Oryzias latipes: one gene and its partner. The protein of the gene in region 2 interacts with the protein of the main gene of each other region in a pairwise test. Links are inferred from orthologs where the notes say so. Each region holds a gene or a part of one and is shown on either strand. Other genes may lie near its edges. The genes, in order: sf3a3 and tada2a.

Region 1 (15,449 bases), on a different chromosome or scaffold from region 2:
CTGATTTAAACGCCGTTTTGAAGTACGCTGAAAGCGTTCCACCAAGATCCTTTTTTCTATGACGTTGCTGAATACTGATGCTCAATAATTTCGATTTTAAACTAAACTCCGCTTCTCCACCAAAAATCGGGAAATGGACTTTCAAATGGTGACACATTTTAGACCAGTTTCTGAAATCCAATCATGTGCATTCACCCCCCCCCCCACACCAAAAAATAAATAAAAAAGGAGAAAACTCTACTGGGATCCCCCTTAAATATTCTGTTCTATATTCGATATTCTATTCAGCGGTATTCCAGTTGAGATTCGTTTAACTTGGAGCAGCTTGCAACAGGTTTTATCACCTCAAACGTTCCCCTCCAGCCGTCCTGACCTCGGATAGGCTAGAAAGTCCCTTAGAGGATAAAAGCCAACCACTAAAAAAAAAAAAAAAAAAAACGCCCACCAAAAAAACAGGAAGCTCACATTAAACAGAAAAACTTGTCAAACCAACAGTATTTTTCTTTTGTGAAATGTTAGTCAAATATAATAATTTATTTTCAAGTCCTGTATCACAGAAATCACTACATTCACCTGCATATTGTCAAAATTAAACATTTACCTGCAGTTGGGAGGAGGATCCAGTGTGATGTCAGCCAGCTCCTTTTGAATTCTGAAGGAAAACACAAGATTTGTTTCCTCATATGTTGTACTACAGTGGTCCAAGAATGGAGCCATGAGGGACACCTTATCAGTACCAGTTGGCATTCATGATCCGAAACCCTGTTTCCAGATCAAGTTAGAACACTGACGCTCAATGATATCAGCACAATGTTTTGTAGGCCGATAAAAAGGATGATTATCAGCATCTCAAACATGCTAAATCTGTCTCGAGGACTAGTCCTGGATTTTCCTAAGTAAGAGAAGATCCAGGACCAAGGAGATCTTCCATTAAGCGATGAGTACAGTATAAAACTCAGCACTGACCTTTTAGCGCTAGTGGACAGTAGTTTAGAGCTCTTGCTCATGCTGGCTTTGCTGTCTTTCTTTTTCAGATAGTTGGTCTCCTGTTGCCGGTTTGAAGATGAAGATGAAGAGGAGCTTGAGCTGGCTCTGGAATCTTCATCCGACATGCCGAGCCCCAAGAGCAGATAAAAACTGGAGGAAGGCTCTGAAACAAATCGTAAAACTTGATTGACTGACTGACTGTAACAAACAAAAACCAAACATAGTAGAGAGCAGCTTTTCATCCACAATGCATTTCTTCTTTGAGGTAAGGAAGTTCTCTTGAACATTAGTAAAATAAAAACCAATGCTTCTATGCAGATAAACTAGGAACAGCAGGAATAACCGTAGATTTATCCTAAACCAGCAGGTTCAGCTTTAACGAGAAGCCTCCATACCTAAACTATGGTATTAAATAGCACTAGTAGCAGACTCCATTCTTTAACCATCAGGGTTGAGCCTCAGTTAGATTTTCAGAATAACCAACAGGAATGATCCTGCCGAGCTTCTTCTTTTTTTTGTTGTCACATCAGCCTTCAACAACGGAACCGTCTGCGGGAGGCTCCGTCCAGGTTCTGACCACCACACACCAGAGAGATTAACCAAGCCGCACACCCGAACCCCACTGTCGAACGAGTCTCCAAAGAGTGCTTGAAGAGGCAGAAAAGGATTAGCACCGTCCCTACACAGAACCCGACTCAGTTCGACCCGATGAACTTTCGTGCGAGGAGAGTCAGCGAGGCCGCAGCCAGAGACAGTGCTGACTTCACCGAGCGCCTCTAAACGCCGCACAAAGGCGCCATTACTCCTGAGCTGTAGCCTGGACTAACCTATCTGCAGCCCTGGGTTGATGGGCTCCGCTGACCCCGGTCCCTGTGCTCTCAGGCGGACTGTCAGAACACAACCACGAAACCCACGTCGTAGTCAATTGTTCAGTTCACGCGGCAGCTTCGTGAATACCATCTATGTGCGCGGGGAGACTGCGTGCCTCCGCCGCTGAACGCAGCACGTACGTCAGTCTGCGGAGAGGAGCTTCCGGTTTCATCCCCCAAAATAAGAGCTCATAGAATTGCTTTATTCATTGAATTTTTTAAACTGTTTTCAAATATCTATCGAGAATAAAAAAAACATTTTCTTTTCCGTGGATTAAATTATTTTTAACTCTTTCTTTCTCTTTCGGCTTTTCCCATCAGGGGTCGCCACAGCGAATCATCCTTTTCCACCTCACTCTATCATGGACATCTTCTACCCTAACATTAGCCAACTTCATGTCCTCTGTTAAGACATCCATGTATCTCCTCTTTGGCCGTCCTCTTGCCCTCCTGCCAGGCAGCTCCATCTCCAACATCCTTCTACCAATATATCCACTATCCCTCCTCTGAACATGTCCAAACCATCTCAGTCTGGCTTCTCTGACTTTGTCGCTAACACAGGCAACATGAGCCGTCCCCCTGATGTACTCGTTCCTTATCCTGTCTAACCTGGTCACTCCTAAGGAGAACCTCAACATCTTCATCTCCGCTACCTCCATCTCAGCCTCTTGTCTCTGTCTCACTGCTACCGTCTCTAACCCATAGAGCAGAGCTGGTCTCACCACTGTCTTGTACACCTTTCCTTTGAGTCTTGCTGGCACTCTTCTGTCACACAACACTCCTGACACTTTCCTCCAACCGCTCCAACCTGCCTGCACTCGCCTCTTCACCTCTTTTCCACACTCCCCATCACACTGAACTGTTGACCCCAAGTACTTAAACTCCTGCACCTTCTTCACCTCAGCCCCCTGTAACCTAACGCTTCTACCTTGATCCCTCTCGTTCAGACACATGTATTCTGTCTTACTACGACTGACCTTCATGCCTCTTCTTTCCAGAGCAAACCTCCACCTCTCTAGCTGTTCCTCCACCTGCTCTCTACTCTCACTGCAAATTACGATGTCATCTGCAAACATCATTGTCCAGGGAGATTCCTGTCTTACCTCGTCTGTCAGCCTGTCCATCAGCATAGCAAACAAAAAAGGACTCAAAGCTGATCCTTGGTGTAGTCCCACCTCCACCTTGAACTCCTCTGTCTGACCTACAGCACATCTCACCACCGTCATACTTCTCTCATACATGTCCTGAACTACTCTGACATACTTCTCTGCCACTCCAGACGACCTCATACAGTACCACAGCTCCTCCCTCGGCACCCTGTCATACGCCTTCTCTAAATCTACGAACACACAATGCAGCTCCTTCTGACCTTCTCTGTACTTTTCCATCAACATTCTCAAAGCAAAAATGGCATCAGTGGTGCTCTTACGGGGCATGAAACCATACTGCTGCTCACAAATCTCCACCTTCTTCCTAAGCCTGGCTTCCACTACTCTTTCCCACAGCTTCATTGTGTGGCTCATCAACTTTATTCCTCTATAGTTGCTGCAGTTCTGCGTGTCACCCTTGTTCTTAAAGATCGGAACCAGAACGCTTCTCCTCCATTCCTCAGGCATCTTCTCACTCTCTATAATCCTATTGAACAACCTCGTTAGAAATTCCACTGCTGCCTCTCCTAAGCACTTCCATACCTCCACAGGAACGTCATCAGGACCAACGGCCTTTCCGCTCTTCATCCTTTTCAGAGCCTTCCTAACCTCATCCTTTCCAATCTCTGCTACTTCCTGCTCCACAAAAACCACATCTTCCTCCCTTCTTTCCCTGTCATTTTCCACGTTCATCAGCTCCTCAAAATACTCCTTCCATCTTTTCTGTACACTCTCCTGGGTTGTTAGCACCTTTACATCTCTGTCCTTAATCACCCTTATCTGTTGCACGTCCTTCCCATCTCTGTCTCTCTGTCTGGCTAGCCTGTACAAGTCCTTCTCTCCTTCCTTTGTGTCTAACCTGTCATATAGCTCATCGTAAGCTTTCTGTTTGGCCTTTGCCACCTCTCTCTTCACTCTACGCTGCGCTTCCTTGTACTCCTGTCTACCTTCCTCAGTCCTTTCTACATCCCACTTCTTTTTAGCCAACCTCTTCCTCTGGACGCATTCCTGTACTTCCTCATTCCACCACCAAGTCTCTTTACCGTCTTTCCTCTTTCCAGATGACACACCTAGCACCTTCCTACCTGTTTCCCTGATAATTTCTGCTGTAGTTTCCCAGTCATCTGGAAGCTCATCCTGACCACCCAGACCCTGTCTCAACTTCTGCCTAAATTCCTCACAAGTTTCTTCATTCTGTAGCTTCCACCACTTGGTCTTCTTTTCTGTTTTCCCTCTCTTCTTCTTCCTGACCTCCAGAGTCATCTTACACACCACCATGCGGTGCTGTCTGGCTACACTCTCTCCTACCACCACTTTGCAGTCAATAACCTCTCTCAAATGACCTCGTCTACATAGGATGTAGTCCACCTGGGTACTCCTACCTCCACTTCTGTATGTCACTCTATGTTCCTCTCTCTTCTGGAAGTAAGTGTTGACTACAGCCATTTCCATCCTCTTCGCAAAGTCCACCACCATCTGTCCCTCCAGATTCCTTTCCTTCACACCAAACCTGCCCATCACCTCCTCATCACCTCTATTGCCCTCACCAACATGCCCATTAAAGTCTGCTCCAATAACAACTCTCTCTCCTCTGGGGAGACTCTGTATGACCTCATCCAACTCACTCCAGAATCTCTCCTTCACTTCTAACTCACAGCCAACCTGTGGCGCATACCCACTGACTACATTCACCATCACCCCTTCAATTTCTAACTTTAGGCTCATCATCCTGTCTGAGACTCTTTTCACCTCTAGAACACTGTTTACAAACTCCCCCTTCAGAATCACTCCTACCCCGTTTCTCTTCCTATCAACACCATGATAGAACAGTTTGTATCCTCCTCCAATACTACGTGCCTTGCTGCCCTTCCACCTTGTCTCCTGCACACACAGTACATCTACCTTCCTTCTCTCCATCATGTCTGCCAGCTCTCTGCCTTTCCCTGTCATTGTGCCAACGTTAAGAGTCCCTATTCTCAAACCTATGTTCCTGCCTTTTCCCTTCTCTCTCTGGCCACGGGCCCTTCTGCCTCCCCTCTTTCTTCGACCAACAGTAGTCAAATTTCCACCGACACCCTGTAGGTTAACAGCATCGGTGGCGGTCGTTGTTAACCCGGGCCTCGACCGATCCGGTATGTCTAAAGTGGTGTGGATGATTCGCATGGTTATTTTGGCAATTTTTACGCCGGATGCCCTTCCTGACGCAACCCTCTCTATTTATCCGGGCTTGGGACCGGCACAGAGGCAACTGGCTTGCAACCCCTGTGGCTAGATTGGATTAAATTATTTTTAACTAGATTATTTAAAATAAATTCACAATAAATTATATTGTCAAAGTTGTTCAAAAAAACAAATTCAGTTTGGTAGTTTGCTCATGCATGAGCAGTAAAAGGTAGATAATAGATGAAAAAGGTTAAATATGATAAAAAATAAAATTAAAAAAGAAGAAAAAAGACAGCAATAACCCAGCAATAACGGAACACAATATGAGCCATTAAAATATCTGTGTGGCATAATTAGTGACAATATTTTAGGTTCATCAGAGGCAGAATCAGATACACACAGAGAAGGAATGACAACTTTTGTTTATTCTGTTTATTCTAGTTTTCATAAATGTCTTTTCAAGAGGATTGTGATGTGAACAGATTGTGTCCTGGGTGGGGGTGTTTCACATCTGTGTTTCTGGAAGTCAATCATTAAATCTTTTGTTTTTCAAACGTTTAAATCCAGTTTTTTAAGCACACGATGCTGAACTTTTAGTTTGTTGGCAGCTTAATTAGTTTTTGTCCTACCACAGCTGTGTGGTGGAACTTGACAATGGTGTTTAAATGATCAGTTGTGGTTCAGTCTTGTGTAACTAATGAATAAAGAAGAGGGGCAAGGACACTGCCTCGAAGCGTTCCTGTGTTTAGGATGAGAGAGGATTAAGTACTGATAGTTTGTGGTAGATATTCTGAGAAGAAGAAGAAATTATCTCTGTGTGTCCGTTAGTGTCCTTGCAGCACTGTTGAATCTGTTGAAGACCCAACAGATTATAAAGGGTTAAAGTCAGGACAGACAGGAGGAAAACACGGAGTAAAATCAGAACACTGTGGCGCCAGTCAGAGACAGCAATCACTTTCCGATCTCTGAATGATTGATCGCTGCGTCTCCTGTGGAAGCAGAGCATCCAGGAGTAAAAGCATCCAATCAACAACTGCTAATGAATAAAAAACAAACAGAAGGTGTTGAGCGGCTGCAAAAAAAATGCTATTGGTCTTTACATTGCGTGGCTTAAAATATTGCATGGGCTAAAACATTTGTAAAATATTGAAATGCAGAATGAGTGTACTCTACAACGCAATTTGTGCAGTGTTGTTCTGCACATCATAATGGTTTTGGAGAGGGTGGATGATGGCACTTTTACCTACAACAAGGGTGTCACAGTCTGATACTGAATATGTTACTGAGAGATTTAACAGCATGATGACGGGTTAGGAGGGATTATCCATGATAGATGTCAGTTTTACCAGCCTCCTTCTGATTCAGACTTCCTCAATAGTAGCCAGTTTGTAGCCCAGGGCCGAGCCAGCTCCCTTGATTTTGGGAGGACTCACAAAGATGTCCCCCAAGTGACACCCTGGGCAAGGCGAGATCCCCTTGCTCCCCCCTTGCCGATGGAGGTAGTGTCTTTGTCAGTTGAAGCTATCCGGAAATTGGGATTGGTGATGACCCATGTCCTTGTGAAACACATTATACCGAATTCTCTGCTCTCTCCCTATGTCCTGATGAACACTTTCACTTCATCCATGTAATTTGCACAAACCTCACATTTTCATTGATGACTGTGGGAATGCAGGACTTAAACTTCTTGTTCTTCATCCTCTGTTAGAGCTATACTCTGAAGCATCACCACCTCCTCTCTAAGGTGGGTCTTTCTAGCTTGAAAGTCTTAAATTCATATTTTCAAATGTATATTTGCCTCTAACTGTCAAAAACAACGAGAATCTGCATTTCTTGCTCATATACAACATTATAAAACACGAACAATGCAATGAAGTGCATTTTTTCCAGGCAAAACATTTACACTTCCAGTCTAGTTTAAAAACAACATTCCTTAAAAAAAAGTGACAAAACCAAAAATATTTTATATTAATGAGATTCCACGATCTAAAAGTAATTTTGCAAACCAAGCTTTGAGTATTTTTATTTAAAGTAATAGTTTAGTGTATGTCTGTTAGGGAAGCGGTTATCAAAGCGGAACCGTTTTACTGGGGGGTGTTTCTTCAGAAACTTATCTGGTGACGGACCCCGGCGTACGTTAGAATGCTTCAATAGAAACAAACGTAGTAGCTTTTTTTTGGTTTCATTTAGCGTAAAAGACAAGAAGAAAACAGGCAATCAAACTACGAGATATTCCCGAAACATGGAGACTATTTTGGAACAACAGCGCCGCTATCACGAAGAGAAGGAGCGGCTCATGGACGCCAAAACCAAAGAAATGTTACAGAAAAAGTCAACGGTGAGCTTAGCCGCTGCAGGCTAACGTTGGCATTACGTGCCACGACGTTATCCTCCTAAAACAGAAAATTAATGGTTGTAATGTGTTATTTGTTGTTTCAGCTTCGGGATCAGATTAATTCCGACCATCGGATTAGAGCCATGCTCGATGTAAGTAGAATTTAAAAAAAAAAAACAACGTTTTGTTGATGCTAACACAGCGGCAGGCTTACGCCACCGCTACAATGCTTAGAGCATAGTATTAGTTCAAAAGCTACAGATAGTTTTAAAATAGACATTGAAACATTGCCTTCTTAACTTAAGATGAGCTATCTTAAAGACGACCAATCATCCATAAGCTGTTGAGACAAGTGAAAATTTTACTATATTTCCTACTATAGACAACTCAAAGCGAAAAAGTATATAGTGGAGTCAGAAGAAGGACACATGATGATGAGAAGGAATAAGTGTTTTTTACTCCGATTATGAACTCATTTGTCCAAATAGAATAAGGAGACACACAGGTAGGTGTTGCTGCTTCCATTCATCCAGCAGCTCCATTGACTTCCATTTTCCGGTTTGAACTTAAAAATTTTGAGTTTACCTTCAAAGCCATTCACAAAACTAGACCTGTCTGTCTCTCAGATCTGGACATTTTGTTTGTATGTATTTTACAAGTAGTATTATCTAAATGAGATGCAATATAAACTACTGAAAGCATAGCTGTAGTAGCTTTAAATGAAGAAAGGTTGTACAAATATAACAATAACAGGCCGTCATAATTAAGACTTTGAAACTAAAATGACAAAAGAAGTTGAGATGTTTATTTTGATGATAGCACTTTAAAAAAATGGAATTATTCAAGAATGCTTGTGTCTAAATGTGTTTCGTCAGAGATACATGGATGTCAGTGCAAACCTGCGAGACTCCTATGAAGACAAAGATGGGTGAGTGTTGTAGTCTTAAGAACCCACAGGTCTGAATCTTTTCTTTTTCTTTACTGCAGCTGTTTTTTTTCTTCTTCTTTTCTTTTGGCAGCATGAGGAGAGACGAGCTCGCTGCCATCTCTGGACCAAATGAGTTTGCTGAGTTCTACAACAGACTCAAACACATAAAGGAGTTTCACAGGAAGCACCCCAATGAGGTACAGAATCCAGAGTTGTAACAGCACTGCTTTGTGTGGTTTGACAGATGGAGTTATTTATAAACGCTGCTTCATATCAGGAAAAGATTTAAACTATAGAGTGTGTTAGTTATTGTGTTAGGAATTGTGTTAGGAAGGCCATCCTGGGAATCATAAGATGATTCCCTGTGGTACCCACTGTAGGGAACAACTGAAAGGTAAAGAAATAGACTCGGCCACTTAGGTATCAAAAAATACTTTTCCTGTTCTGGGGTATGGACATTATTGGATTATCAGTCAGAAGCGCAACACAAAGCCCTCAGTATGTCAAATGTGTGTTTAATAGACCGACACATTCTGTGCCGGAATGTTGCTCATTCTGCAGAGCTTGAGGGGAACTGCTCTCTTTGGAGCGACTGAAAGTTGTGGAGGAAACCTTTTTGTGCATCACAGGATTGTTTTGCAGAAAATGTCAGCAGAAGGACACTTGGTGTTTTAGTAATGGCCATAATCCATGTGGAATTGTTGATGGTCATGTGACCTTCATTAAACCGTTTTTTAACATGTTTTCCTTGTAGATTTCCATCCCCATGTCTGCAGAGTTTGACGAGTTGATGAAAGCCAGTGAAAATCTCAGTGAGGAAGCTCAGAGTAAGTCGGATCCACCTCCAAAGCATTCTTTATCTTGTTCTTCTCTTTTACAAACATTAACTCTTATTAACAAACAAGAGTTCTTTCTCAAAGTACACATCTGTTTTAGTTTTTCCACCTTTGGTGAGCTAGATCCTAAATTCATTTTTTTTTGGGGGGGGGGGCTTAAATGTAGGAATTCCCTTCACAAGCCGGCAACTAGCCGGCTTTAAGTCTTTTTTTTGTATTGTAGATAAAAAATATATATATATATATATTTGGTCTAAAGTGTTTATGGATTTAATTTTAAAGCCTTTGTTTTAGTTTTAGAAAAATCGAGCAGAATAGTTTGAGTCTGGTTTGACCCAGATTTTTGTCTGCCTCAGACATGGTGGAGTTCACGGATGAGGAGGGATACGGCCGCTACCTGGACCTCCATGACTGTTACCTGAAGTACATCAACCTGAAGGGGTCTGAGGTCAGGATCCATCAGATCTGCTTGATCCGTGTCCAGATTCACATGAAGGTGCACTTTCTAACTGCCCTGTGGTTCTCAGAAACTGGATTACATCACATACCTGTCTTCCTTCGATCAACTGTTTGACATCTCCAAGGACCGGAAAAATGCTGAGTACAGAAAGTAAGTGTTTGTTCCGGCGAAAGTTCCGCTGTTTTTCCGCACGCGAAGCATTAAGGTGGAAAATGCTGCCGGCTGTGCAGATACTTGGAGATGCTGCTGGAGTACCTGCAGGACTACACCGACAGGGTCAAACCCCTGCTGGACCAGAACGACCTCTACGGCAAAGTGTTGACCGACTTTGAGAAAAAATGGGACAACGGGACCTTTCCAGGCTGGCCTGTAAGTTCTCCTCATTTGTCCAAACGTTTGAACACGATCTCAGATTTAAGAAACGTTGAACATAAACGTTTCTGATGCAGAAAGAAACGAGCAGCGCTTTGACACACGCTGGAGCTCATCTGGACCTGTCTGCCTTTTCATCCTGGGAGGTACACAGCGTTCATGCATGACTGATTGATGCGGTTGTCTTTCCTGTTTAATGCGTTTCTCTGTTTCTCAGGAGTTGGCCTCTTTGGGGTTGGACAGGTTGAAGTCTGCTCTGATGGCTCTGGAGCTGAAGTGTGGAGGGTGAGTGCTGCTCAGCTCTGATTGGTCTTTTACTATAGGAGACCAATCAGCCAATTTCAAAGCCTTAACCTCTTTGGTTGTCCTGTTAAAACTAAATGTCCTCTGGGTGACGTCAGAGTTTACCTGTCCAGCAGTTGAACTTAAATAGTGATAAAACCCTGGGGTTTGTTGGACATTTCTGCTGTGGCCTGATGGGCGTGAGGAAAAACCAGCATGATGTTGTTTGCTCCAGGACTCTGGAGGAGAGAGCGCAGAGACTCTTCAGCACCAAAGGCAAATCTCTGGAGTCGCTCGATCCATCTCTGTTTGCCAAGAATCCAAAAGCCAAAGGCCCCAAAAAGTAAGCAGTTTTAAAAAGGTATCCAGTCTAAATTTGATGGTGTTTTGTTAACGTCTCTATTGATATTCCCCTCCTCCCCCTCAGAGACACTGAGCGCAACAAGGAAATCGCATTTCTGGAGGCCCAGGTGTACGAGCTTGTGGAGATCCTCGGGGTGAGTGTGGAGCTGGTGGACTGGCTTCTGGTGCAGCTGTGACCTCGGAAGTTATAGCCGCCGCCTCGCTTGTCCTTCACAGGAGCAGAGGCAGCTGACACACGAGAACGTGCAACGGAAGCAGGCCAGGACAGGGGAGGAGCGTGAGGAAGAGGAGGAGGAGCAGCTCAGTGAGAGCGAGAGCGAAGATGAGGATAACGAGATCATCTACAACCCCAAGAATCTGCCCCTGGGCTGGGATGGAAAGGTAAAAGCCACCCGAATCATTCTGTGACGAGCTCTCAGCTTCAGTCATCGGAAGCTTCCTCTTGTGATCTTCTCCTCTCCAGCCGATCCCATACTGGCTCTATAAGCTCCATGGTCTGAACATCAACTACAACTGTGAGATTTGTGGAAACTACACCTACAGGGGACCCAAAGCCTTCCAGAGGCACTTTGCAGTAGGTGTTCGTTGTCAATGTGGGGTGTGCGTTTAAACGCGTGTGGGGGTCAGGTGTGGAAAAAAACCCGTCTTGTGTTGCAGGAGTGGAGGCACGCTCACGGCATGCGCTGCCTGGGGATCCCCAACACGGCTCACTTCGCTAACGTCACACAGATCGAGGACGCAGTCTCCCGTGAGTGTCCCGCTTGATGGGTTTTGATGTGTGTGCTTGTTGCGAGGGGGGGGCGTGTCACCTCTGATGTTTGTGGGATGTTGCAGTGTGGGCCAAGCTGAAGTCCCAGAAGGCTCTGGAGCGCTGGCAGCCAGACACAGAGGTGAGGTTTCCTCCAGAAAACTGTTGAGAACATGATGTGGACATGTGATGTGGACATGTGAGGGCTCACTTCTCATCTTCCCCCCCATCTGGACTGACAGGAGGAGTACGAGGACTCCAGCGGAAATGTGGTCAACAAGAAGACCTATGAAGATCTGAAGCGGCAGGGCTTGCTGTAGTTACTCAGGAAGGAGAATCTCCATGATGACTTTTTTTTTTAAATCATAACTGCTTAAAGTTTCCTGTTTTAGTCAGTAGAATGTTTTCCAGCTTGAGTTTTTTCCTCATAAACCTTTCTAACATGTCAATCTGTGAACAATAAACTGAAGACTTTTTACACAGATCTGATTGTCTGAGTTTGTGCAGCACACTGACCCTCATCTGGGAGAAACACTTCTACTAGAATCCTTATATAGAATCCAATTGATGACATTTCAGAGCTTCATTGACAGTTTTTATCCTTAGGGAAAATAAATGCAGCAGAAGTCATATTTTCTGACATGTTTCAGCTCATAACTGTAAAAACGGACACTGATGTCTAAAAAGAAGATTCCTAGCCGCACGGGTGGAGTTATGACAGATTAGGTATTTTAGCTGTTGAGCTGAAAGGTTTCTGAGTTCTCAGATTAAAGAAGAACTTCTGGTTCTTTGTCTCCTTTTAAATCTGTCTTTCTTTTATCTGTTTTTTTGTATAATTTAAATACATTGTAAATCAGCAGGTGGTATTTATCCCGATTTTTTTTTTTTAGCTATACAGTCTTTACAGTCTAAATGTTTTTCCTATAGTTGTCAACCTGTCCAGCTGAAATAGCTTCAGTTGTTTAACTAAGGAGCTATTTTTAGTTAATAGTCTTTTTCTTTTTTTTTATGCCTTTATAGACGGGGTCTATATGCGCTTGCAGAGGCAACTTTCAAGGGACCAGTGGAAAATGCCAAAGCCTTCAGTTTTTAAGAAAAAACAGATTCAGACTCTTAAAAAGTAGTAAAAGTCCACATGAGATCAACACTGAAGATAAAACACCTAACTGTATATTTAAGAAAGTATTTAGTCAATGTTTTCTCAGTAAACATATCGAGATTAATGTTTTGTAATTCTGTTATTCTTCAGCAGACTAAAGAGCAAGCATCTCCCTCTGCTGATGTGCTGTGATTTAGGCCACAAGGATCCAGGTCTTACACACCTAAAACCGTTTCATGAGTTAGTAACTCAAAAGATTCCAGCATCACTGGTTCCAAAGTTCTGAATTGTTGGGATATTGCTGAATTCTTCCTTGCTTGTAGACTTGTTTGGTCGAATTTAAAGAAGGATGTATTTGAAAATGTTGGTTTGACACAGGAAAATCATGGAGCTTCTTTCAAAAGCATGGATTCACACAATCTCATAAAAACAGTGAGATGAGCTTTAAGGCAAGTTTGTACGTCAGATGGACCGCCGCTTCCAAGGAGGTGATGGAAAGAAGGAGGAACCATGGAAACATGTTGCCAGAGTGACCTGTATGCTCTGCCGGTCAAAATAAAATGATAAAGCCTCCCGAAAGAACAAAAATCCTGGAATCGCCCCTGTTCCTGCCTATATCAGGCAAGTCTGTAGGACCATCCCAGAGGGGGAGGAGCCTGAAGCTTTTTTCTTTTATGGTTCCTGCAGAGCAAACTGTTAGAAAAAAAATCCCACACAGGAATGTAAACAGACATACTATATATTCACTTAGAAAATTACAGCAAGAACAATCATGGAGTTAGACTTCCTTTTTGTGAGTATTGATGTCCACACATGTAAATACGTTTTGCATCTGCAAAGGAAAATTTTTAAGGGCTAAACAATTAAGTGCTTTTGGAAAACTGTACATGAAAGATTAACAGTTGTAAAATTGTTTTGCACACTTGCAAAAATGTTTTTCTATCTTCAGAAACATTTGTCGAATCTTCTTGTGTTATTTAAGAAACATAAGATCATGGGAAACCTTTGTCGCATTCATGTTTACAGTCAGACCTGATGTGCCTGAAGAGAACCAGATGTTAATGTGAAAAAATGAAGAAATTAAACAGGAAGATTTTTTTAAATGTATGCACCTGATTAAACTGACTGGTTTTCCCTTTTGTATTAGCTTATTTCCTAATTAATTTCTAAATTAATAATGTAGGTAATGTAGCTATAAATAATTTAAAAAAGAAAAAAATGTGAATATTGAATCTTGCCAGTGGTAAAGAATCTTTCGTTAGCTGGAAATATCAATGACGTTTCCTGCAAGACAGAAAATTTCAGTTATTGTGTCAGTGCCCCAAACTGATGTCTTTACCTGGATTGAATCAAAGTTTATTTCAATTTATAGAAAAAAACAGACAGAAAAGTTGGAAACATATACAAATTTAAAATAAATGAATTTAAAAAGAAGTGCTGAAAAACAAAGCAAGTGGCTGAGGATGAACTTTGAGGTTCTAAATGACAGAAAAGTCTCCCCAGTGTTTGCCCTGCTCACCGTTTCATCTCATTGTTCAGATCATCTTTACGGAGACTGATTTATACTTGGAGCAGAAAATCCAAAACTATTTGAAACACAGACAGCAAAAGCATGGTGTGGTCAGGATTATCCCAAACAAAATAAAAGAAATCTGTTAAACTTGCTTTGGTAGCTAAAAGTTCAAGAATTTCTCCTAGTTTTTAGCTACATAACACAAGAAACAAATGGAAAAACACTCATTTACATTAAATAGAGTAACATTTTGTAATCTAGTGAGAGGTGATACACCGACTGGCTGCTGACTGGAGAAATGTGTTGAGTATTTGATCTATTCAGATGAAATATTCCTGTCAAAAGTCAGAAAATGGGACTTAAGTTTATGTTTGTAAGCCCCACCCCTCCAAAGAAAACACTCTTGTGGGTGTTTATATGCTGTTATGAGGACATGTAAAAATGTCTGAAGACAGGAAAGGCTTTTTTTTCTACGTGAGCAAAACCAATGTATCGCTGTATGTGTGTTTACACAAAGACTAAACCGTATTACAAAATCACCAAATGATTCTCAAAGTTTTTAACAGATCCACAAATTTTGTTTGTAAAACATATCTACATGTGTGGAGATCATTTAACAACTGCAAAATAATTAAAAAGAATATTTCTCCATAGAGTGTCCTCATCATCAGGGGAAAATTAGAACCTGGAGAAACTGGACTTCTTCTAACCATCATAATGCAATCAGGAAAAGACGACTGGCTGCAGCGAAGTAGCTTTTGACCTATTGGTCACGGAAAGAAGAGGTTTTCTCAGAGACTGAGGCTCACATCAGCCACTTGTCCTTCTCTTTGTTGAAAGTCTCGGCCCACTGCCGGGTGAGCTGCAGGAAGTGGTCTGGCTGGTTCGGCTGGTAGTCCAGATACAAACGTGTGACTGTTTTCTTGGGCACGGCCCTTTCTATCTGCGTGCCTTCGTGCCATTGGTTGAAGGACGTGATGGTGACTATTTCTGGCCTGATGGACAGGGCGGCCTGCAAGGACGTCTCATAGTAACGCCCGTTGACCCGGTTTCGGGTGTTGTGGTTGTTCCACGGACGCACGGCGGTGTCGATGTAACCTGGACCCACACTAGGGATGAACAGTAGATTATTTGTGTCACAGAAGGCCTTGATGGCCTTCCAGTTCTGGTGGGAGGAGCCAAACGAGAAGCCGTTGGAAGCAAAGTAGGTGTACACGCCGTTGAAGCCGCTGGCCAAAATGTCATACTTGTGGCGCTCCTCGACAATGAGGGCGAGGAAAATCCCATCGTATGGCGTGCCTCTGATGCTCCTGGAGCCTTTAGCTGTGAGAAGCTCCGCCCAGGAC
Region 2 (15,176 bases):
AATAATCAAAAGTGTATTAAACCTGTGATTCCTTTTCTCACTTTTCATTTTCCAGTGTTCTGATGTCACAACCGCTGACAGCAAGAGATGGAAAAAGTGTATGAATTGAGCGATATCTAAAAACCTCATTATTGAAGTTTTTAAATATTCACTTTAAGAAGAAGCTGTCATGGATCTTAAATCCATTCAAACAAATGAAAAACATGTTAGAATTAGACTTTAATTGTGGGTTTTTTTGTATTGTTGTTGGACTACTTTACATTAGATAGAATGGACAGCAATTTTCTTGCAAAACAAACCCCGAACGGTGAATTTGTGAACTGACCTGACAACATTTTTTTCTAACATGATTCAATCTGGAAGTCAAAGTTATTTCCCATAGTTTTAAAAAAAAAGGCTGGAGGAGGACAACACTTGGTCAAATAACCCACATGGGAATGTTTGTAAATTATATTCTGTATTCTTGTTGTTCAGGGTTTACTAAATGTATAAAAGAAGGACCTAAATTACTTAATTTTCTCTCTTTCTTAAGTGTTTTTTTTGTGCCTTCCTTTCAGGGGTCAGTCAGGACGTCCGACTCTGCATGACACAACAAAACCTGCAGCTGATGTTGGTAGATTGGTGCTTTTTTTTATAGAGGAGGGATATCATCCTTCAGAGCCATAGTTCTAAATGCCTCACTGCACGACTCACACATCCAACTCATTTCAGTCTGTTAGAGTTCTGCAAAAGTCTGGTTCTGACCCGTTGTTCTGAGACAACGGTGCTGAGGAAGGCTTCTTCTCTTGTTAAGAATTCATTTATGAAACCACTGAAAAATCTAAATACATTAATAAAAAAGGAAACATTAATAACTTTATGTGTTGTAAATGCGTTATGTTTTTCAATGTATTACTTCAGATTTAGGTGCTAGAACTTGCAAAGCAATTAAAATATAAATGTATTTAAAACTCAAACGTGTTCACCTAAAGGAATGATCCAGTTATGTTGCTGCATCAGAGAGAAACAAAAAAACCTCACTGTATTTTGTCGTTTTATCGCTCTGCTGATGTGCATTTGCCATACTTAACTGACTCAACAGGCGGACACACACTAAAGCCGGCGCCATTTGTTGCCGAGCAACAGATGAGCGTCAACAGCAGGCAGCAGAGCTGCTGTGACGCGAGGAGTGGCCGCGCACACGCCCTGGTCAAGTTCGACCATAGGACTTCAGCCTTAATTAGCAGCTGCCACCTCACCTGAGGTCATGCTCCTCACCCAACAGTGAAAACACAGAGCACAGCTATTCTGGTCGACATGGAGACGAGAGCGCAGGACCGGTGTGCTTCGTTCATTCCAGCACACAAACATAACCACCTGGTCATTCTGCCTCCAGCAGCACAGAGACATAATACAGTGAGCCCACAGCGAAAGACACGCACACACTCACACACTTTGACAGTCTCCATGACAACCAGCCTGCAGCTCTACAGCCACTCAAATTCTCTTTTGTCTTGAAAGGCTGGAAAGATAAGGCAGAGAAGGTAAAAAAAAAGGAGGAGGGCAAACTGGAGGGTGAAGGAAACATAAATAAAACATGAGAGGAGATCTGTTCCACTCCCAAACCGCAGACAGCTTTTTACACAGCAACACGTCGAGGTGTGACTGTGGGCTGGGTGGACTGAACTAATCTAATCACAGCTGCCCTCCCCTTTTTGTAACAAGAAAATATCTCAAACAACAGATGCAAAGCATCATCCAGCTTGCTGGAGTCAAAGCGCAAACAGGTGGACACTAGCTTAAAAAAAAAAAAAAAAAAAAAAAAAAAAAGGCCCTGGAGCTAAAGCTTCATCCGATTCCACAACAAAGCACCACAGAAATGTTGGTGTGCGTCCACGGTCAGCGCCAGGTTGACAGCAGAGAGCTGCTATGAAAACCGTCATGGGAGGGGGGGGGGCTCAGCAGGAGACTCACTCTGGAATTTACGGAGATTGATCAGTCCGTGGTCTCTGATGATCCTGAAAGACACCAGGATGTCGGTTTAGCTGCTGCTGTTCACATCCACCCAAAAGTTCGACTAACACTGGATCAGACTCAATATTCACAGAACTCAACTGAACTCAGCTAAAAATAAATCAGTTTGAGGGCGGTGAAAAACTAAACTTATCAAATAAAAACACATTTCTTCAATATCACCACAAAATTTGACACTTTTGCTTCTGAGTACAAACATTTGTAAACATAAACCTTTTAGGATTTTTATTTGGTACAGGATAACTAACAAGATCTGATTATCTGTCTGCAATATGATAAAAGACAGAGCTTACATTACTATTACCATCTGATTTGTTATCATCAACAGTTTTCCTTTGAAATATAATTTTTAAAAACACAGTTTCTGACGGTGATGCTGTACAGAAAATACATCTGATGATGTCACACATATCTATACAGAAATAAACATGAATAACTTGTAGTTTTTTTTAATAAAACCTAAAGAGTCTCTAGGAGCTGATTTGAGAGAGCTGCAGATTCTGTCAAATGTGATTGCAGAGGTTTATTGCCGGAATAAAAACAAAGAAAGGAAGTGTCTAAAAAAAGGTATGTGCCCAACCTAATAGGACATTCCAGCATGTTCCAGGAATCAAAAATTTATTTCCATGAAAGTACTTAAAGTTGCTTGCAACATTTTCTTTTCTAAACCGAACAGAAATTAGCTGGCTATGAAAAAAAACAACCTCTAATCATAAAGCTCTCATTGAATAAAAAAATATATTTTAAGTAAAACATAACTGTGATTTCATATTTTTTATGCAGTAAGATAATTTTAACCAGTTTGAATATTAAAGGTACACAAAAAAGTACTAATATTGAAAGTCACCACTTAAAAAAGCTCCACATTTGCACAGATAAGCAGAAAAGAGAAGGAAAAAAAATTGTTCATGTGAATTTGAAAGTGTTTTCTTCCAGCAGGAAAAACAGTTGCCCTGCCAGCCCAAAACTGGGCAGAAAGTCAAACTGTTCACAAAGACGTAGCCTTTGCCTGCGATGCTGCAAAAATATTTAGGAAATAAAAGTAGCTTCATTTAGAGCCTCTCACCTCAATCTAACGATGTTCATCTTAACAAGAGCTGAGGAAAAAGTCTAATGAAAAAGCATCACTTATTCTGCTATATCTTCATTTTTGTTTAAAGTTTTATTGCTATCAAATTATAACTGTTTGTAATAACTGATGCGTAATTGTTAAATAGAAAGAAGATGGGGTTTTTGGGTTTTTGGCTATGTTCTACCTGAAGATTGTGTTTGGGGAAACAAATCTCCAGAAGATCAGAACAGACGCTTATGGCGCCATCTGTTGATTAACTGGTGTTATTACAGGATGACGAATGCACAAGAACTTACTTCTTCCTTCTTTGCCGCTCCTTTAACCTTGAATGATAAATATCAACAACTGCAAGCTTGAGAGCTGAAAAAAAAGAAGCACACATCCCAGACGAGCATTAAACTCATAGCTGTTATGGTCTAGAGCGCAGTGGAGCAAAGAGGAAAATCTCACCGTGAAGGATGTCTGAGTCATCGTCCACAAAGTCGATGTCTTTTAAATCCCATTCTGCGTAGTTGTCAAACTCCTAAAGAGACACATGAAAGATGATTTGAGAATCCCACTGGCTTGATTAAAGTCCACAGAGCAGAAGATCTGATGCCTCAAAAGCAGCAACAAAGGCGTGAGCCTCGGTTCAATAATACTCACTCACAGCTCTGCTGTGGCAATTCATTCACATGGACAGGCTACGTTAGAACACAAAAATGACAGTGGCCTCACCTCCATGAAGTCTGCTCTGGCTGGCATGTAACCCGCCATGTCCCGAGAGAGCACCGAGTCAAATATGGGCCGGGGCGGGTCGTCACAGGCTGGAGTGTGGTGCACAAAAAAATAAAGATCTCACAGTCACTGATGTGAAGATTTTTAAACGGACTCGTGAATAAACTGTACTTGGATTTGTTTTTAAGCTCTGACACTGACTGCAACCACCTTTACCTGCTGCTCCTGTCCACATTTAGACTATTTGTAGATATAATATCATTAATCTTTTCTGGAAATTCTGAGACTGTGGAACAGCTTTCCTCTAAGAAGACTTAAAGACCCACTCCCATGAACATCACGTTTTTGGTGCTTTTACATCAATAAATAAAATGAAACATAAAATTGCATTTCTGAGTATTTCTACACAAGTAGTTGTGAATCTTAAAGAGGAGATGATCAATAAATAATATCTTCACCAATAGCCTTCAAAACAGATTTAAAACACAATTAAACCCCAAACAATCAGCTTTGCCTACGTTTAACGCATTAGCAAGCTGTCAAGGGTTCAAATCCCAGACAGTTATTGTGTGTCTTTGGGCCCTTTACCCCACATTGCCCTCATTATAGGAAACAGCTTTTTAGCGTGTCGTTTAAATGAGTAAATGTGAATGTACTGAGGTGCTTTCTTCATGCACGATGCCTTCATCTCATTCCTTCTCTGTAGAATCAAATGAAAGGAGAGTCACTATGCAGGAACATACGTTTGAAGGGGATTGCTCCTTCTGCAAAACGAGAATCTTTCGTTTTCTTCAGGCTGAGTAAGGTGGAGGAAAACAGGGGGTTGTTGATGAAATTCTTCATGTAGTGGCTCTCGCACTCCTCTTTGGTTTTTGTGCGCATCTGATATGCCACGTCCTGCCTGAGAAGAATGAACGCAGACAATTAGAGGACTTTTCTCAACATGGCATGTGTGAAAGATGATGTTTTTACGGATTAAAAGATACAAATTTGAAGTTTTAATTAAACCTGCAACTGCCTAGTATTCTGGTATTCTTATTACCTTCATTCCATTTAATTACCGTACTCAGATGTAGAGGTTCCAAAAAAAATGAATTAGCCCTTCTTTAGGCTTGAACATTTGGAACAGCATGAAGAAAATTCTTATATACCGTAATTTCCAGATGATAAGCCGCTACTTTTGTCACACGCTTTCAAACCTGCGGCTTCTTCAATGATGCGACTAATTTCTGCATTTTTATCTTTTTTTTATGCATATTTTCTAACGCCCGCTAGGGGCGCTCGAGCAGGGGGAATACGGTATATGTGTCGAGGAAGACGCAAGTTTAATGTGAATTCCCGCTTTGGGAATGAATAGCACAAAAAGACCCTCATTATAGAAAATGCAAGAAGAAATGCTTAAGCAGCTTTAAGTTAAAACCAATCGTTAAAAGCAGTGTGAAAAAATCCACCATCACCAACGGGTTTGGAAAACCCGGCTCAGGAGTGAATTTGCCTCAGAGTGACAATGACAGCGACAACGAAAGAGAGACAGAGAGAGTGTGGGGAAGAATATCTGACGCTGTTCCAATCTGACACTGAGGAGGAAAACCTCCATGGTTTCAGTGCACAGGAGGCGCGTGTCACGCAGAGGCGTGCTTATAAGTTACTGCTGCTTTCAGTGACTTTTTTTTTTCTTCTTTCAGTGACTTTTACCGGTATGTTTTTTTTTAACAAGCCCTGTTAGTGCTGTTACTACCATATTGCTGCCATGTCACAGGCACTGTTTGGAATAGAGCTGTGACGGTGTGGGATTTTTGATGACCGCTGTGATGAACACAAAATCCTCCGGCGGCTGCGTCGCAAATGAATACCGGTACAAGTACGACTGCACGATATGAAGAAAACTCGCGATATGCGATATTAGTAATTAATATTGCGATAACGATATAATTTGCAGTATATAAACAATTAGCAAAACAACCAAAAATATTATTCCCATTCCATTACAACAGCTTAAAAATTATACTACAAATGACCCTTGTTGACATAGGAGGCGAACATACAACATAATAGGGCGCCATCCGATTAGTTAACAACGTGAAGAGGTCCATCTCATTGGTCAAATGCAGAAAGGGATTCTTTCAATCCATTAAACACTTCAAGCTGCCATAAGATTGTTTGGCCACATCTAAGGTAACCATTTATTGCAAATTTGCTGTCTTTTGCGATATGCATATTGCACAGCTTGATATTGCGATAACGATAAATTTGCGGTATATTGTGCAGGCCTACGTACAAGTAATAATTACAACGCACTAATCTTTATTAACAAATAACCGTAACAACTAACTACTATCAATGAACTAACTATATTGGTGTTGTAGAATGAGTATGTGTGTGTCAGTGCACTGTGTGTGTAAGAGGAAGGAGCACTAGCAGTGCAAGAGTAAGTGACAGCCTCCCTCTAGCGCTGCACGCTCTCCCCTCTTTCTTACACACAGGGCTCGTGGTTTCAGCACATACACATCCTCATTCTACAACACATGTTTCAATGTGGGCACATGCAGCTTATGGACAGGTGCGGCTTATGTATGTACAAAATGTTTTATCCTTTAAAAATGGAATGGGTGCGGCTTATAATCAGGTGCGCTCTATATCCAGAAATGACGTTAATCTGTTCCTTTTAAAGAAGCACATTGCGACGTTAATAACAACACAAACAACAAAACTTTACATTTCTACATTTCTATCCCCTCCTTAACCCAGCTCGGTCTCAAGCTTACGTTTGTGGATGTCTTACTTCAGTTCTCTGCTTGTATTTTTTAAATATCCCATTTTTAAGCTTTTTTTTTCCAATCTATGCAACTATGCTTGTAGTTTCTTTCAATGTACTGTCCAGTGAGTTGCATAGATTGACTGCATATAGTGATATGTGTGTCTATTAGTTGTGCGTGCAAGTGGCAAATTATATTTCCTCCTGTCGCTATCGTCTTATGAAACAAAAGAAAAAACGGATTGAATGATGTTTGGGAGAATTTTCAATTTGGCTTTTAACATGAATAATAAAGTTTTTAAAAAATCAATTAAATTATTAGTGAATTCTCTGCTGCCTTTTTGTTGATTATACTAATTGCTTTTTTCTGTAAATGAAACAAAGGCTTTATATATATGGACAGAATATGCTTTTCCCCAAACTTCGAGGCAGTAACTAAATTACACTTAAATTAAAAAACAATATAACCACTGTTAAATAATATTTTCACCAATCTTCTTTTTTAAATAATTAATGTGAGATTTCCATTAAACAGCAGAAATGACTTGTAAAAATTGTCACATTTTGAAACCAAAAGACAATGAAACTAACATGACACCAATGATAAATAGCTAAATGATAAAACATTAAAAACTTGCTTTTTGAAGTTAGTAAAAATAAGTGTATTCAAAAAGAAAACACTGGTAAAATGTCTTCGACCTCTTACCAGTTCCCAAACCCGCAATCCATGACTGCCTCCAGCAGAGCCATCTCCTCCTGCGCCGTCCATCCAGGCTCCAGCACCGGGAAGTCTGAAGTCTGAGTCGAGGTAACACAAAAGATGCCCGCTAAACATGATGTTTAGCTACACCCGAGAAACTCAACTGCAGCTCCACTCACCATGATTTCATATCTGTGATCACTCTGATGCTTCTTGTATTCAAATCCTCTGGTAAAACACTGGAACGAAATAAGTTCAGGGTAAAGCTGGTCAGGTAAAAGACACGATTTGTTCATTAAATAAAAGTTCTTTGAATGCACTGAGGAGGTTTTCTTAACTGAGAAAAGTAAAACTTACATGCAAATTAAGTGAATTCATAAATTGTATCGATATGACGACCATGAAAGAAGCAGCAGTTATAATGTGGCTTATTTTTCAAATAAACCCAATCGTAAAGATCTGGTCATTTATTTCCCCATTAATTTAACAGTGAAGGAAATCATTTTGCAAAATAACAAAGTTCTAATCTAGAAAGAAAAAACAAGTGCATTTTTGGAAGTAACTAACAAAAGAATTTGTATTCAACACAGGTGTGTGAGAAAGCACAGTATTAAACCAGGTTAGACACAATTTGACTTCATCCTTTTAAATAATTTTAAAAGATTTCATAATATCAGTGTGCTATAAAACTATAATAAAGCGTCACTTTTTAAGAAACACATTTAGAAATGTGATCAACAACATTGTAATGTACTTTTAATACCCTTTTACTACAGAATGTAATACTATATTTAAAAACTGTACTTATTAATATATAGTTGATATATTTTATAGATACAAAATTAAATATGTCAATTATTTTAATTTTTAATAAAATTGTATCTATCATAGAATATTTGTAACAATAGAAAACCCTAGAAAATGTAACACTTAACACTCATAATAAAGAACATACATACAAAACATTATTTGGTTTAGCAATACGATCTAATGCTATTTGAACAAATTCAAAATTCAGAGTGCAAAAGTATTTTAATTTGTGCTACATGATTTTTTCTCAAATGTAATAATGTTTCTAAGGCAATAAATATATTATTTAATAATGGATGTAAGACTTACCGTATATCCTCCAATAATAGCCCTGACATTAATTGAAGACCAGCCACTATTGGAAGATATATGGTATTGGCAATGTAAAAAATAAATAAAACAATTGTTAAGAAACAGGATAATCAGTGGAACATGAAAGAACTGGACGGAACACCCTGACACCTCTTTATTATACACTGCCGTGGGATGGCATCATGTTCTTTCATTTGAATTTTTTTTCTCAAATCAGGTATAGTAGTTAGAAATCTGTGGAAGGCGATCAGTGCTGGGCGGGCACTGATGTGGAAACCTCCAGAAGTTCCAAAAATAAGGGTCAATCAATGGCTACAGAAATAAAAGCAGTTTGGCTATTTGGAAAACCTTGCATACCTTCTGCTGCTCATTGCACAAATGCGCGTTCCTCACAAATATGGACTCATTTAAAATATAAAGCAAACTAATTTTGCAGAAGTCTAACATTTATTGCCAAGAAGTTTTGCAACAACAACAAGGAAATACTGGGCTAAAAAAAAAAATCGTAAGGTTTTGTCCAAAGTGTTTAAACTGTGGTCTGTCTGCGTAAAGTTACAGCTGAGTTATTCGGTTTGTGTTCAAACACACATTCTAAAGAGCCAAAACAAACAAATTATAAGCATCCTCATCTGGCTTACCTGAAGACACAACAAAAAAGGTGAAGGTCCACATTCTGCGCACTTGATGTATGGTTCGGTTAGATGGGATGAGCAGCCTCTGCAAGGCGGTTTATCAAAGGGGTCATCTAAAATGAACAGAATAATTATATATATATTATCAGTAACAGTTTTAATAGTAACAACACGCAGTTAAAAAAGATACATATAGCCTAAAGTCGTGATTTTGGGGCAAACTTGAATGCACAAAACAGATGTTATCTTGGGCGAAGGACTAGCTTTACTAGTCGAGCTTGAAAATGATGATAATGTTGAATGTCTCAACAACAGGTCGAATATTTTCAACAAATCACTGCGGCAAACAAAAATAGCATTGTTTTTGACGGCGATGCTAATGCTAAAGATAGCTTAGCAGACCTTGCTTTATGGACAAAAACAGCTAACCTTCCAAAAAGTCGATGGATACTTGGTAAAACTGCAATAAATTCAACTGTGTGTATAATAATGCCAATACGTACCTGAAAAAGACGCTATTCGGTCCATTTAATTGCTATTTGCTTCTCAATAACAACACCAAAATTGAATTTGGGTCGATCTGTTTTTCAGAACTCGGCTATGTGCCTGATGACGTCATAACTAATCGAGCTCCGAATATCGATAGTTTTGGTCGTGTATCACCACACAAAATGATATATATACTATTATGTTTTAATAGTTGTGTGCCATGTCCTCATAGGTTCTTACAAAGGCAGAAGAAACTCAAAAATTTGAACAGAAAACAAATGTTGTTTAAAAAAATGTATGAAATATATAAAAAAGCCACATGGAATATTGCATTTTAATGCAAAATGATTTTTATAAAAAGGTATTTCATCTTTAACTTTCTTTTCCTTCTCTTAAGATTTTTGTTTTACATTTATTTTGCAATGGGGAGAGATTTTAACTTGTTTTTAGTTTCTCCATCTCATCACCATGACGACAGTACTTCCCTATATTGCCACAAGGTGCTGATCTTGCTCTATGTCTCTTAAGGCAACAATGAGCACCCTGAAAGCCTTTGTCTCCCTCCCAGCACAGATGATTACCTGAGGCTTGCATAAGCATCATGTGAGAAATAGAAATAAAGATGATGAATGTTCTGTGTCACAACACCCCCATGCTGCTTTTTGTCCTCCATAAACTTTTTGCAGAGGTGCTGCCTGGCCTGCAAAAGGCTTCAAGACATTTTCTTTAATATGAAAACCAGCAAATATTTATGAGTACCAATGTTTTCCAGTGCCTGTGTCCAGGTTTGGCACCCCCAATTCAAAAACAGCTCAAACACCCTCAAGAGCATGCCAGTGAGGGCCCATGAGGAGCCTTAGGAAAACAAATATCTGAAACCCTAATGCATAAAACTGCAAATCCACATGTGCCAAACTCACTTAAAGGTAGAAAAAATAAGTATTTGAGTGAAATGACTGATTTAGTACAGATGTGGCTGGAAAAAGGACTGTTTGATTTTCATGAAACCTCTTAACCTCTCTGCAGTTACTAATTATGACAGTTTTTATTCTAATATTTGCATTTCTGTCATTGATACCAGAAAATCTGATTCCTTCTTTCTTTGAGGTGATTCAGAGCAAATATATTTAGACTGCAAATCCCCACAGAGGATGAGGGCAGCTTCCTAAACCACATGATGGGTTAACTCTGAATGGGCTGCTCTGTTCCAGCTTGCTTGAGCCTTCTCTGTGAGTTCAATACATCCTGATTGGTCTGTTCGGTAGCATCCTAGCCTGCGACTCATCTCTGGAGCCTCTAGGGAGAGACACGGTTTTTAACGATAGTCTGTGTATGTTAAGGAGATGCACGCACACTCTTACTCTTTTGGAGGAATTTCCAGCTCACCGTCATACTAGCTTGTAATCATCCTTTGAGAGGGTCATGATTTATTCACCTATGAGGAGAGACTTCTCCTTTTTGTGTAACGGTTTGCTGTTGTGTGTTGAGCCAGAGTGAGCTTCCTTTTTTGTTCCTGGCTGCAGCATTCACACCACATGCCCACAAGTGTGTGATCAAACGTGGCTATAAAGGCCACAACTTTTCAGGACTATCTCAGCAGAAGAGCCCTTCTATCAACTGTTTGTTTCACTAAATTATTAAATTCGGAATAAATTGATCAGGAATTAGAAGATTTTTGGATGTCATTTATTATTGTTCAAGTGTTTTTTTTAAAACATTTCTCTATTCAAATTTAATTGATCCAACATGCACTCAGTATATTTGTTTGTTATTCTTAGAACTTTGTAAAGTTCATGCTTTTTTTGTTTTAAAGGTCTATTTAACAGCCTTAAAGATTCTAAGGAGGCCTAAAATCGGCTGAAATGGCATGAGACCAATCTGGGGACTTTTTGAGAGATTTTTACGGTGACCATAATAATTTATCTTTATAACCGTTTTATGTGTCAATTTTAATATCCATTGTTTTAGTAAAACCCCAGATTATTTTCTTTCCTTGATATTCCTCATCATATTGAACAGCAATTTCACCACAAACCTGAAACTGACCTGAGTGGTAAAGTTAGTCCTTTTTTACTGCAAAAAAAACATCAAAAAATGTAATCAAATTGTTTTTTTATGTCTCATGGCAAAGCTTGAACATATACAGACAAAATAAAAAAATTATTTTTCCAAAAACAAAGCAAAGATATGATCAAAACAAAGAGAAAAATGTCTAATAAAACCAGACAAAGCTCCACAAAGCTATATGTTTAAGGGATTTGTTTCAAGGGGTATCTTAATTATGTGTCATAACAGTTGTCATGATTGGTCTGAACCAAAAGTTTTAAAGCTAAAAACCTTTTGAAAACCTTCATTTTGGGTGAAGAATATGCTAATGAGGGATCATTGTCATTCCTATGTCATCGTAAACAGCAAATGTGATTGTCCTTCCTACTACTGATCGTTAAATTATTCTGTAATGAACTTACTGTACAAGGCATAAAATGTTCATTTTTTTCTGCTGGGATGCTGGCATTTCATAGATGTGTGTTGGCTAAAAGACACGTCTGTGCCCAGCAGTTGCATTTAATTAAGTACAATTGTATGTGTAAGGACCATTTGAAATGTCACGGTCAGGATTTGCATTAGCACACAGTAGGAATTCACATCTTGGCAGGAAATGCAGAATGAATGCATTTTCCATACGGACAGTAACAAAGAAAAGCGTGTCAGATTTGTAGAGAGACGTGTGTGCTCCCCTGCGATGGCCTCTGCTTCAGCATCACCGCCTTGGGGGGAGGCACAGGACCGTCTGACTCTTCATCCCTGTTCCACCTCCTCCCTTCCTCCGGCGCCTTTACGCAGCAAAAATCTTTTTCTGCTACAGCTGTTTGCCAAAATATAACTGAAGCCCGACTCTTAAAATAAAAAATGCCCCCCCTTTAGTGCACACGTCTTTTCTTCCAGCAAATGCACCTCCCAGCTGCTGTGATTTAAATATAAGGGCCCCGTGAAGAAAAGAGGGCATCTGGCACACGCCTTCAGGGCCTTGACAAAAAAAAAAAGCACCAAACAAAGCAGTTAATCTGCTCCTGCCAATGAAAAATCCTAGAATACAAATGGGTCAATTCGGAACATAAGGAGAAGGAATGGACACAGGCCATTGAAAAAAGTCTGGACAAAAGACAAAAGGAGGAGGACAAGTGCAGGACAGACAGCCTCAATCAAAGATTTATATTCACTGTAGCAGCAGAGCTGATGACATTTATTAAGCTGCGCTATTCTTACTGTGGCAAACCAGCTTCTTTCAGGAGAAGGCGTTTTCTTGAAGCTTTTTTATAAACGTTTAAAAAAAATGTAAAAACATTTTGTGATTTGTGATCAAATCTGATAACTTGAGTCAGTTTCTCATCCATAGACAACAAAACTCTGAAAAAAGGGTTAATATATACATTTATTATGTCTTTTCCGATGTTCAAGAAACAAAATTAACTTAAAAAAAATATTATTTATTTTGAGAATAAACCAAGACATATAACAAGTACTAGTTCAATAAAGTTCACAGTGTCTGTATCGACAACTGAAATCTTAGGCTCTTCTTTTATCGGACACCCGTGTCTGATAAAAGATAAACATAATATCATATAACAAGTACATTGGAAAAAATACAAAATCTCATCAAGTATTTTTATCTAGCTTTTATTATCCCTTTATACTTGACATAAGACAAAACTAACTTAACAGTAACTGTACAGTACGCTGTTATGACTTGTTTTAAGACAATACATCTTGAATTTTTGGTTGAGTCATTTAATCTTGAATTCTTGAACAAAACACTTTTTCAAACTTTTCTTGTAAGCTAAAGTTTTATTTTTGAAAGCTCTTATTTAACTGACTTTCTTGATTTCGTTTTATTTACATATATATTTTAAAACATATTTATTTTAAAATTTGCAGCTCTAAATAGTATTCTTATTTTTTGGTGAAATGGTCTAGAAATAAGGATAGTTGGATAGTTGCTGTAGTATTTAAAATTGGATGTATTTTGGAGGACAAGTGTCTAAATATACATACTTGCTAAAGATGCTAAACTTTTTATGAGCAAAACACGCCTGGTTTAAGAAATCATTTTTCCAATTACCAGAGCAATACACTTTAATATGAATGTTTAAAGCCTATTTCAAGCTTTATTTAATCTAAAAGGGCAAAACAATTAGTTCTATTGGCAGATTTTTTTCAATTATAACAACAGAGAAATGTCTTGTTCTTTTTTTTCTGTGAGAAAGACTTTTTTCCAGAGTAGCACGAAAAAGTGCAACATACAAAAGACCTGATGCCCGAAAAATAAAAAAACTAAAGTCTTTAATACTGAACAGGACTTCCCAGTTGAAACAGGATAACTTGATAATTAGAAACTAAGATCTGGTGTAACAGTAACTTGGGGGAAGACCCAAAACAGAACTTAAAGACTAAATAAGATTACATCAAATGCCAAAAACTAAACACGACTGAGCAAATCTAAAGAACAAAACACCAAAAAGATAAAGCAAAGAAAGCAGTGTCAGCGTTCTAACGTGGGCAGATGTACACGTTTGTGTGTGCAGTCAAAAACACAAAGACACAGTGGAGCAGCTGTCAAGTGGCAGACAGCATCCTTTGTTCAATGACAGATTTTAACAGCAGCTCCACTGCATATTGCCACACACTCACGTTCCAGATTTGCTGTTAACTACTTTCATGTTTTTGGTTCCTGACTTAGAAGAGATGGTAGGAAAAGCGGACAAACCAGAGAACCAAATCTCGACAGAAGAGTGTCTCAATCTGGAGGAATCCCCACATGACAGAAGTAACTCAAAATCCCGTCTTAAGACTCAGAGCTAAGTGTGTTGACTCAGTTACATTAAATAGTGTAGTTTTTTCTGCCTGGAAGCCTCCACCAGCCTTGACTTTCAAGTGTTTTCCAAGCTGTTGACACACAACTGCACACTTCACATTTAAACGCAGCCACAAAACTATTCAACCATCCAAGCAAACGTGACTTTTTTCCAGAGTACTTGGTTTGATCTGAATAAATCAACAAAAAAACAAAAAAAGCGTCAACAAAAATATGTGTCATCATTCGCTTTTGCTGATGAAAGGTTCCCCCTTCACATGTGTTCCTCGTTCCAGCGAGTTCAGCGGCATCTTCTCTCCATGCCAAGGCGCCTTTGAGGAATCAGCACAGCGGGAGTTCAAGGAGGTCAGCAAGTGGGTGTGGAATGTTAGTTTTTCCCATGCAGAGCTACGAAACACTCCAGCAGAACATCTTTGTTGATACCTCACAGTTGTTTACCTTCAGGTTCATAATGGATTACATATAATGACAACCAATGCAGCCCAACCCTCTATAGAGACATTCTGTCAGGTATCAATCGATGTGATTTCAGCCACTGAGGAGAGTGTTTACAGAAGGAAAAAAGTGTTTCTATTTATTTATTTGCCTTAAAAGTCACCTTTTGGATTTTAAAAAGAACTGAGGGAATAGTTTAGTGTCAGAAACTCCACTTAAAAGGTGAGACAGACACTCAGCAGAGTTTTACACACAAAGTAAACTAATAGAAAATCTAAAACCCAACCAACCCAACCCTTTTCCAACATAAATCCAGAGACTGGCTATGTGTGTCCTTTTTAATAAAATGCTTCACCTTGACCTGTGAC

Evidence for each region.
Region 1: the proteins of tada2a (region 2) and sf3a3 interact in binary tests that used the Homo sapiens proteins (3 or more experiments, as listed by UniProt). The two-hybrid records come from large-scale screens. The link is inferred for Oryzias latipes from reciprocal best matches to the Homo sapiens genes TADA2A and SF3A3.

Annotation. Positions count from the first base shown.
Region 1 is NC_019869.2:17,925,828-17,941,276, forward strand, and holds sf3a3 (splicing factor 3A subunit 3), read left to right. Parts: upstream 1-7,254; 5' UTR 7,255-7,409; coding exon 7,410-7,505; intron 7,506-7,606; coding exon 7,607-7,654; intron 7,655-8,377; coding exon 8,378-8,430; intron 8,431-8,521; coding exon 8,522-8,627; intron 8,628-9,184; coding exon 9,185-9,257; intron 9,258-9,622; coding exon 9,623-9,714; intron 9,715-9,793; coding exon 9,794-9,876; intron 9,877-9,956; coding exon 9,957-10,095; intron 10,096-10,175; coding exon 10,176-10,244; intron 10,245-10,315; coding exon 10,316-10,383; intron 10,384-10,615; coding exon 10,616-10,723; intron 10,724-10,807; coding exon 10,808-10,877; intron 10,878-10,959; coding exon 10,960-11,124; intron 11,125-11,206; coding exon 11,207-11,317; intron 11,318-11,400; coding exon 11,401-11,491; intron 11,492-11,577; coding exon 11,578-11,633; intron 11,634-11,733; coding exon 11,734-11,811; 3' UTR 11,812-11,975; downstream 11,976-15,449. Other genes in the region: ubiquitin-conjugating enzyme E2 E1, read right to left, coding at 602-652, 967-1,112; glycoprotein endo-alpha-1,2-mannosidase-like protein, read right to left, coding at 14,909-15,449. UniProt on the Homo sapiens protein: Component of the 17S U2 SnRNP complex of the spliceosome, a large ribonucleoprotein complex that removes introns from transcribed pre-mRNAs.
Region 2 is NC_019871.2:10,128,921-10,144,096, reverse strand, and holds the start of tada2a (transcriptional adapter 2-alpha), read right to left. Parts: upstream 9,641-15,176; 5' UTR 9,540-9,640; coding exon 9,515-9,539; intron 9,125-9,514; coding exon 9,018-9,124; intron 7,497-9,017; coding exon 7,437-7,496; intron 7,356-7,436; coding exon 7,264-7,355; intron 4,704-7,263; coding exon 4,546-4,703; intron 3,892-4,545; coding exon 3,803-3,891; intron 3,609-3,802; coding exon 3,536-3,608; intron 3,446-3,535; coding exon 3,382-3,445; intron 1,998-3,381; coding exon 1,954-1,997; intron 1-1,953. UniProt on the Homo sapiens protein: Component of the ATAC complex, a complex with histone acetyltransferase activity on histones H3 and H4. Required for the function of some acidic activation domains, which activate transcription from a distant site. Binds double-stranded DNA.